Canis lupus familiaris: one gene and its partner. The protein of the gene in region 2 binds, or shares a complex with, the protein of the main gene of each other region. Links are inferred from orthologs where the notes say so. Each region holds a gene or a part of one and is shown on either strand. Other genes may lie near its edges.

Region 1 (4,800 bases), on a different chromosome or scaffold from region 2:
CTCAGGTTCTGTGGGCAGAAACCATTCCTCTCAATCCTCTTTTGGAGAAAATCAATCTCCCAGTACTCGTCCCTTTCCTCTTCCCATCATCCTTACCCTGCTTCTTCCTACCTGAAGGACCCTCTCTGGCCTCTGTTGTGTCTCCCTGCGGGGTGACCGGCTTACAGGGAGGGGCACAGAGAAAACCCAACCTCGTCGGAGCCCAAGGAGGAGCCTGGGTTCTGGGAACCAATCCAGGGTGACAAAGATCCTTCGAGGGCGGGCCTGAGAACCACAGGGTTGAGTTTCTGGAGACTGAAGGTTGTCCAGGTAACTGGAAAACATGGAGCTCATAGAAGGGTGGTATGTGCCAAGCACAAAGCTTAAGACAGCAAGGTTCTTAGGGGTGGGGGTGAATGGGTGACGGGCACTGAGGGGGGCACTTGACGGGATGAGCACTGGGTGTTATTCTGTATGTTGGCAAATTGAACACCAATAAAAAATAAATTTATTATTAAAAAAAAAAAAGACAGCAAGGTTCTGGAGAGTCCACTCTCTCCTATCCGTAAATCCTCAGTGTAGTTGGAGGGGAAAGGGCTTCAGAGCTGGTTAGCCATGCTTCATTTCCATGTAGCACTGCCTGAAGTCTGGAGACTGAGAAGTTACAGATTTCCATATCTGATACGATGCTGTCACAGGAAAATGCTGAAACAGGAAAAGAGCTGACAGTAGCCATCTTGGGCGATTTACATCACTAGGGCTCATGAGCAAGTGCCATTATTAGGCCTCAGGGAGGTATTCTAGAGTGTGTGAGCGAAAGAAATGCAGGAGAAGGCAGCTGAGAGAGTTTCTCAGTTTGGAGAGAGGAGACACAGAGGAGAGGAGGACCCACAGACTCCAGGGTGCTGACATAAAGGGCTGCAGATGTAGAAGAAAGGGTAGTAGTGGGAGACAAGAGCCATGAGTTCTAGTCCTCCCTCCAGTTACGTAAACTTGGGTCAGTTGTTTAATTTTGCTCAACCTCAGTTTCCTAGTTTTTATTATATATATTTTAAAGATTTTATTTATTTATTCATGAGAGACACGCAGAGAGAGGCAGAGACATAGGCAGAGGGAGAAGCAGGCTCCCTGTGGGGAGCCCCATGCAGGACTTGATTCCAGGACCCCAGGATCACGCCCTGAGCCAAAGGCAGACACTCAACCACTGAGCCACCCAGGTACCCCTTAGTTTCCTGGTCTTTAAGTCTTTGATTTGGTAAATCCTAAAAGGGCTGGGTTTTAACTGGGAATTCACAGGGCCATCTTCCCTTGCGGGGACTTAATTTATTGCCTCTCTTCCTCTATTCCCTTCTGTGGCTGGTTTTCAGTCAGGTGCTGCGAAACTCCTTTGCTAGGCTTCATGTAGAATTGAGTTGGTCGGGGCTCCCTCTAGTGGACTTGCTTGACCTCAGGAGTCTCCTCAATTTTTCTACTTAAATTATTGGGCCATGGGATCCCTGGGTGGCGCAGCGGTTTGGCGCCTGCCTTTGGCCCAGGGCGTGATCCTGGAGATCCGGGATCGAATCCCACATCGGGCTCCCGGTTGCTTCTCCCTCTGCGTCTCTCTCTCTCTCTCTTTCTGTGACTATCATAAATAAATAAAAATAAAAAAAAATTATTGGGCCATGTTGGGAGTGCCTCTCTCTAGGGGATACTTCCTAGCCTCTTGCTGGGGCATGAGTGGTTGGAAAAATGGTTCTGGGGAAGGGAGTATGATGGGTGACTTGTCCTTGTTAGGCAACCCCCAACCCTCTCTCCTCCAGCCCTGTGTTAGTTATTCTGGAGCTTTTTCATCTGTCTGCTGCCTGGATCTCTGGGAACCATACACTTGCTAGAATGAAAACAGCAAAAAACATCAGGGATTTTCCCTTTGTGGATCAAGGAACCTGCAGATTCTCTTGTTATTTCTCTCAATCTCTGTCCCCCTCAACATTTTTGGTCAATTGCCTGTCCTCAGGAGCAGATCTGAAGAAATAGCTTTGCGATCTGGGTTTTAAAAATCCTTTCCCTGGGGAGTGGAGAGATTCAGATGGGGCTGATTTATGCTTATTTGTCACCTTGGTGGCTGCTGGGTACTTCTCTGATGCTTGAGAGATTTTACAGAGTATAGAGAAGAATACTTGCCTTTTCTGGGGCTTATAGTTCCCGTAATGTAGGGTCAGATAACTTTGTTCACAACTCCCAAATCTGGAGAATACTTTTCTTCTCATCTTGAAGTGTGTTTCATTTATTCTCCCCTCAGAACTCTTTCCTCTGCATAGGAATGCAGGAGAGGTTCCCACCACAGTCCTCTCCTCATCTAGAAGCCTGTTTGGGGTCACTTTTCAGGGAATGATTGGTTTCTGCATTGTGCTGATGCATGCGATGACATTTTGAGGACAGAGTTTACAGAATACAAACAACATATCACGCCTCAGAAGAGGATTTACTTTTCAAATATGTTCAGTCAACCGACTTTCAGGTGCAGAATGAGGATGTGGTTTGGGTGAAGGTGAAATGGAAGAAGAAAAGTGCCCCATGTCACATGATGTGATGATACAAACTGAGCCAGATCTAGAATGACCCAAGAATGCGAATGACATTGTGATCAACAATCCAATCCCCATCCTCAGTATGCTTTGAAAACAAGCCAAGTAAAAATTGTGGTGGTTGGGGGGAAGGTCAATCTTTCCTTCTTTTTTTCATTAACTTCAGATTAGAAGTGAAAAATAAGAAAGATCATCTCAGCAGAACTCTGTCCTCCTTTGAATAGGATTCCATCTGGGAGTTTTGAAGAGATATAGAGGAAAGAACTGTCACTCCCTCTGCTTTATTCAAATGCGAGAGAGAGTTTATTTGTATATTTAAAGAAATGTGGCTTTAAAAAAAAATTTTGATAGGGCACCTGGGTGGCACAGTTAGGCATCTGACTCCTGATTTGGGCTCAAGTCCTCATCTCAGGGTGGTGAGATTGAGCCCCTCCTTGGATCATGAGCTCAGTGCAGATGGAGTTTGCGGGAGATTCTCTGCCCCTCCATTCACTTGCTCCACTTGTGTGTGCCATGCACATTCTCTCTCTCTCTCTCAAATAAATAAATCTTAAAAAAAAGTATGTATTTTTTTCTTTTTTGAGAGGAGGGAAGGGAAGAGAGGGAATCTTTTTTTTTTTTAAAGACTTATTTATTTATTCATGAGAGACACAGAGAGGCAGTGACACAGGCAGAGGGAGAAGCAGGCTCCATGCAGGGAGCCTGATGTGGGACTCGATCCTGGGTCCCCAGGATCATGCCCTGGGCTAAAGGCAGACACTAAGCCACTGAGCCACCCAGGGATCCCAAAGAGAGGGAATCTTAAGCAGGCTCTATACCCAGTGTAAGCCCAATACAGGGCTTGACCTCACGACTCTGTCATCATGACCTGAGCTGAAATCCAGAGTCCAGGGCTTAACCGACTGAGTCACCCAGGCGCCACCAGAGATACAGCTTCTGCAAGCAGAAACAAAGTACAAATTATACAGTTACACTCTATCCAGGTGGTGCCGAAGATAATACAAATTGGAAGGCTTAAAGGAAGCCAGAGATGTGTAGATGAACCAGATGAACTCATATAGGCCCAAGGGTTAATTTCTTACCTGTTACTCCAGTAAATCTAGCATTTGATGATGAGGGGGAAAAATACCCTGTGTACCTACAACGTGTTAGGTACCCCAGAAGACCAAAGTCAATGAAATAGCATAGCATAAATAAATGTGGTACCTGTGAGAATGAACAGTTAGTGAAATTTATTTTTATTATTATTTTTAAAAATTATTTATTTATTCATGAGAGACAGAGAGAGAGGCAGAAACATAGGCAGAGGGAGAAGAGAAGCAGGCTTCCTGTGGGAAGCCTGAAGTGGGACTCCACCCCAGGACCCCTGGCACCATGAGCCAAAGGCAGATGCTCAACCACTGAGCCACCCAGGTGCCCCCAGTTTTGACAGTTATCTTAGAGCCTTGCCTAGATTTTCCTTTGGGAGATTTCTTCTCTCTCTCTCTCTCTCTCTCTCTCTTTTTTTTTAAAGATTTCTTCTCTTTCTAGGCAGGAACTGATAAGAGGAAATTCTGATAGTAAACGATAATGTTGACTCCATAATCAATCTTAGATAAAGGCCATTGAATTTCAAAGCAAGGATGTCTGGCTTATGAGTCCTTGAGTTCAGAGAGATTTTTCTCCCCTCTATGCCAGGAGCACATGATACACTTAATTCCTTAATCAGTTAAGGGCTTTGTGGAAGACCCAGGTAGGGGATCTAAGACAGAATTGAGCATTTAACAGACACGCTAGAGCCTGCAAGCTCCCAAAGAGGAGGCTCAGAATTAGCAAATCAGGGCAGGGCACTTCCTTCTTTTGGAAGAAAAGTTCCCCTTTTTTTTTTCAGAGTTTTTCCAACAGAACTTTTTAGATTAGAGAAGTGGAAATGACTGGGAACTGCATTTCTGTTCCACGCGGGGAGTGAGTCCTCCCCTGGCCAGGGCCGGCAGCTGCCTCGGGCCTGGGCCGCTGTGGTCAAGGCCTGGAGCTGGCGGAGCTGACCTGCGGGGCAACGCACGGAGCCCAAGGCGCTGAGCCCGGGAACCTCAAGCACACACTCAATTCCCAGAAAAGGAACTAGTGTTCAGAAGCCAAAAAGGGGGAAGTGTTTTGTTTTCAGAAGGTCAAGGGCCCTGGAAGACGAGCTTGCGGGCTGAGCGTCTCACGCCTTTCTGGGGAGTGATCAGGCTTGAACCATCTGTCACATTCCCGACTTCGTGAGTTCACAGCA
Region 2 (4,919 bases):
CTATTTCCATGTCCCCCAACACCATGCTGGACCTGACTGTTGTTTCTTGAACAACTGTAACAGCCCCCAAATTGGAGGTGATCTTTTTAAAATTGAAAATCATTTTTTTTTTAAACTAAAAATTTGATCCTGTCTTTCCTTAGAATCCTTCCATGGTTTCCCATTGCCCTAGGACAAAAGCTAAAAATTCTAAACTTGGCCCATAAGGCCTGCATGGTCTGGCCTGCTCTGTTCCTCTCTTCAGATATCCACTTGGCACTGCCCTATTATTGCTCTCATGGCTCCAGTCTCAATGTACTTCTTTCAATTCTTCTATGGAATCATGCCCCCTTCCAACTCAGGGTCTTTACACACGTTATTCCTTCTATTTGGACCACTCTTCCCCTCACTCTTCATCTTGTAAAGTCCCACTGGTCCATCAGGTACCAGCCTAAATCAGTGGCATTTTGCTAGGTATCTGTCATTTCTAAATCTAATCTTCACCATTTCTTATACCCCAAGAGACTGACCCATATGGGGCACATCAACAGGAGGTTCCATAAATGTAGGAGAGTGAGATCAAGTGTTTATCCTCCCAGTTCCCTCCCTGCCAAATCATCATTGGTTGGGCTAAGTTTCTCTGTCAAAGGCCATGGCACCAGTCAGGCAATATTCTCTACGTTGCTCTTGCTTGGGGGCTTGGGTAACTATTTCTGCCCTACGTCCCTGGAGACTATGTCATCCCTTAGAATTTCACTCTTGCCTACAGTTTTGTACACAGATCCTTTATGAAATTCTGAACTCTATCATTGTTTCCATCCAGGGCAACACTGACTGATGCAATGACCTATATACACAGATTTTTATATACACTGTGCACACACAGACATATACTTAAGTATGCATACAGGCAAATAACTGAAACAAGTTTCATATACCAATTTACGTTTAACATGTGCCATATTCTGGGATCCCTGGGTGGCGCAGCGGTTTGGCGCCTGCCTTTGGCCCAGGGCGCGATCCTGGAGACCTGGGATCGAATCCCACATCGGGCTCCCGGTGCATGGAGCCTGCTTCTCCCTCTGCCTATGTCCCTGCCTCTCTCTCTCTCTCTCTGTGACTATCATAAATAAATAAAAATTAAAAAAACAAAAAAAAGAAAAAAAACATGTGCCATATTCTGATACTTTTGATTCTATCATATATTTTGCCTAAAAAGTATTATAATTACAATCTACTACTGGGCCTACACCTGCAATTTGAAAAATGCCTTAAAGGACATTTCTGCGGGTGACACTTTCCCTCATTCATCAGGCTGGATCAGGAGTCCTCTGGTCAATCACTGCACTTTTATTTTCCTACAGAGCTCTCTTCACAATTTGTAATGTTACTGTTTTGCCCCCACTAGGCTTTTAAGTGTCATGAAAGCAGGAACGTGATAGTGATGCTCACTGTTATATCCTGTTTCAAGCACTGTGCTCAAGAAGTATTTGTAGAACAAATGAATGAACAAAGGAACGAAACTCACCTTTAAGGTTTTATTCCTCTCAGGACTACTTAACATTTGGATTTCTAGTACATTTAATAGTGAGATTTTTAGTATATTTCTGGGACAGAGAAAACTGGATAGAGGGAGTGGATCGTAAGGTACCTACACTCTATCCTGATGTATTTTTTTAAAAGATTTATTTATTTATTTATTTATTTATTTATTTATTTATTTATTTATTTATTTATTTATTAATGATAGATATATATATAGAGAGAGAGGCAGAGACACAAGAGGAGGGAGAAGCAGGCTCCATGCCGGGAGCCTGACGTGGGACTCGATCCCGGGACTCCAGGATTGCGCCCTGGGCCAAAGGCAGGCGCTAAACTGCTGAGCCACCCAGGGATCCCCTATCCTGATGTATTTAAGAGAGGACCTTAAATATGATTTATAGATATCTCATAAAGCTTTGGGGTCATCCTTTACTCTTCTCTCCCATTCCTTACCCATCAGCAAATCCTATCAGCGTTACATTTAAAATATATTCAGAAGTCCAGTACTTATCACCCCTGTCTGCAAGCCATGATCTTATCATGATCATTGCAAGAGCCTCCTAATGGATCTCCGCGCTGTTCTTGCTTCCCTTCCATCTCAACAGAATGACCCTATTAAAATGGAAGTCAGATTGAGTCTCCCCTCCATACAGAACTGCTCAAATTGGTTTCTCATCTCAGAGTAAAAGCCTTCTTTTCTTCATTTTTAAAATTATATATATATTTTTAAAGCCTTCTTTACAGTGGCATCCTGGCTTCATTCTTTTTTTCTCCATAGAGAACATTTTTCTCATGTTACCTGCTCATGTGCCATATATTGTGCTTGCTTAGAGTCTCACTTCCCTTCCTAGGACAGGTCTGTAAGCTCAAGAGGGCAGAGAATTCCGTGGTTTCGTTTCCTGCAGGGTCCTCCGAGCCAAGACCAGAGCTCGGTACATAGTAGTCGTTCAATAAACTGCTGAAACAAATGAATGAACCCGGAGGGAAACCCAAATAAACCTGCAACGGTCAGACGCCCACTAGCCTATCTTCCCGTCACCTGCCAGGATTTGCTAGAGACCCACTTCGCGCAGGCGCGGTGCTTGGGCGCCCCACAGCTACCCGTGCAGCTGCTCTTTAAAAGGCGGCAATACTCACTCTGGAGTCCAAACGAAGGATTGCAGGTTAGGAACTTGGAGGACGTTTCTGCAAAGAGATAAAGAGAGGAGGAGGAGGAAAGGGGTGAGGTGGGGGGGTGCGTAAAGAGAAGAGCTCCTCCTGCCCTCGTGCTCCTGCCCTTTCTCTTCCGCGCTAGGACCCGAGAGTCTCCATCCTCCCTACTCCTAGTAAGAGAGAAAGATGCTCCCACGTGAGCGAATCCAGTCTGGGGTCCCCGAGGCGGGGCGGCAGCCTGCACCGGGCTGCAGGAACCAAGCCCTGCTGTTTCTATGGCAACGCGAAGCTCCGGGGACCTTTCCTCGTCCTCCTTTAGCTGGCTATCCTCTTGCCTCCCTCTGTTTCAAATACCACATATATTACAACTCTCAAAGATAAAAGCACTCAGAGAAAGACCTGTAAGAGTGCTCTCGAATGTAGACGTTTCTTTCAGTCAAAGACAACAGCTGAGGCTTTTTCTTTTTTTTCTTTTTTTTTTTTTTTTTGGGCGGTTGCGTTAGACGCCTAAACCGGGGGGGGCGGGGCGGAGAGGTGTTTATCCCACAAGGCCACGCGCGCGGCGGGGCCTCGCCTCTCTCTTTCCGCCATCTTGGAGCCTGTGGAGGTGAGGAGAGCCGCCGCTCCTGAACTTTGGGGGCCGATTAAGTGCGGTGAGACGAGCCCTGTGCTTCGGCGGGGCGCCGGTGCGGCTCGGAGGCTGTGTCAGCGAGCGAGCGCCGTGGATTCCAGCGGCGGGGAGGCCAGGATGGCGGAGATGCGGGGCCGATGGTGCTGGTGCCCGGACTCCCGGAGAACCGGCGCTCCCGTCATCGCCGTTGCTGCTTGGGCCTTAGCGGAGGGATAAAGGCCGTTCGCCCGTTTTGAGGCAGTGGCTCCCTTAGGATGAGCCCTTTTTATATTTTATTTTATCTTATTTTATTTTATTTTATTTTATTTTATTTTTCCGTCAAGACGCTCCCACTCCAGACCTGGTTATGTCTACGAGCTCCCCTTCCTCAGCCTTGCTTTTCCCATTCAGTGCTTCCGCCTCTGTTTTGTGTGCTTCTCCGATTCCTCGCTTTTCTTTCCTCCCCCACCCCCCCCCTTCCTACCCGGCGTGGTCTGAGTCCGCTCGGGGCATCCTTTCGGCGTCTCCAGGAGCTGTTTCCTTGACTACGAAGCCCGTCCTGCCCGAGGTGTCTCCCACCGGAGAGACTTCCTGTCAGATGCCGAGCGCTACCGAGAGCGGACTGGGCGGGAAACGTGCTTTTGCAAGATTTTAAACTGGTTCTTTTTGTTTTAAGGCCTGCTGGGACCAGGACTCCTAAAGCGACGACTATGTCTGGAAGGTACAGACTTTATGATTTTTTTTTTTTTTTTTGCATCTGTAAAAAAAAAAAAATCAAACGTTTGCTGTAAACTTGGGGAGGGGGGATTAGATGTTCGCTGCAGGTGACTTTTGAGTAGAGCTCGTTACAGGTGAGCTCTTCCAGTGAAACCAGATCTTTGCACGACTTATGGTCACTCTGTATTTTGTCTCAGGCTTTGGTCCAAGGCCATTTTTGCCGGCTATAAACGGGGTCTCCGGAACCAGAGGGAGCACACAGCTCTACTTAAGATCGAAGGTGTTTATGCTCGAGATGAAACTGAGTTCTATCTCGGCAAGCGATGTGCTTATGTCTACAAAGCAAAGAAGTAAGTTCATAGTGTTAATGCCTCTTGCATTTTTTAGTTGAGATTTGTCGCATTTTCCTATTCAAAGGAGAAGAATCAAAAGATGTTGGCAAAGCAGTTGGTACTTTTGTGTTTCGTACTTTGAATCTTTTTTTTTTTTTTTTTTTTGAAGATGTTACTTATTTATTCATGAGACACAGAGAAAGAGAGAGGGGCAGAGACACAGGCAGAGGGAGAAGCAGGCTCCGTGCAGGCAGCCCAACGTGGGATTCGATCCCAGGCCACCCAGGGATCCCTGCCCTGTACTTTGAATCTTTAAGGAATTTCATAGGAGGTCACAGAAGGTTGTTACTTGTCTGGGTAGTGTTGGATTTAGGTATCCTCTGCACTTAGAAAGATTTCAGCTATTGACTGTTTCAAGGAAGGAACCGATTCCTTATGTTATCTCGTGTACCTTGATTCACTTTGTCGCTTTCTTGAAATTATGTTGTATAGGTGTTTAAAAATGTGTCTGGGGCCTTGATTCTTAAATTCATTAAACCAGTGAAAATCTCTGGGGACATAGCTTTCACCCCCCCCCCCCCCCCGCC

The links.
Region 1: IQCG (region 2) and CCDC153 share a complex: the UniProt entries of both Homo sapiens proteins name them as parts of the nexin-dynein regulatory complex. The link is inferred for Canis lupus familiaris from reciprocal best matches to the Homo sapiens genes DRC9 and DRC12.

The regions. Positions count from the first base shown.
Region 1 is NC_049226.1:14,703,406-14,708,205, reverse strand, and holds the start of CCDC153 (coiled-coil domain-containing protein 153), read right to left. Parts: upstream 3,144-4,800; 5' UTR 334-3,143; coding exon 112-333; intron 1-111. UniProt on the Homo sapiens protein: Component of the nexin-dynein regulatory complex (N-DRC), a key regulator of ciliary/flagellar motility which maintains the alignment and integrity of the distal axoneme and regulates microtubule sliding in motile axonemes.
Region 2 is NC_049254.1:29,438,947-29,443,865, reverse strand, and holds the start of IQCG (dynein regulatory complex protein 9), read right to left. Parts: upstream 3,143-4,919; 5' UTR 3,073-3,142; intron 2,970-3,072; exon of another isoform or gene 2,707-2,969; 5' UTR 2,659-2,706; intron 2,477-2,658; exon of another isoform or gene 2,321-2,476; intron 1-2,320. Other genes in the region: RPL35A (60S ribosomal protein L35a), read left to right, coding at 3,994-4,004, 4,198-4,350. UniProt on the Homo sapiens protein: Component of the nexin-dynein regulatory complex (N-DRC), a key regulator of ciliary/flagellar motility which maintains the alignment and integrity of the distal axoneme and regulates microtubule sliding in motile axonemes.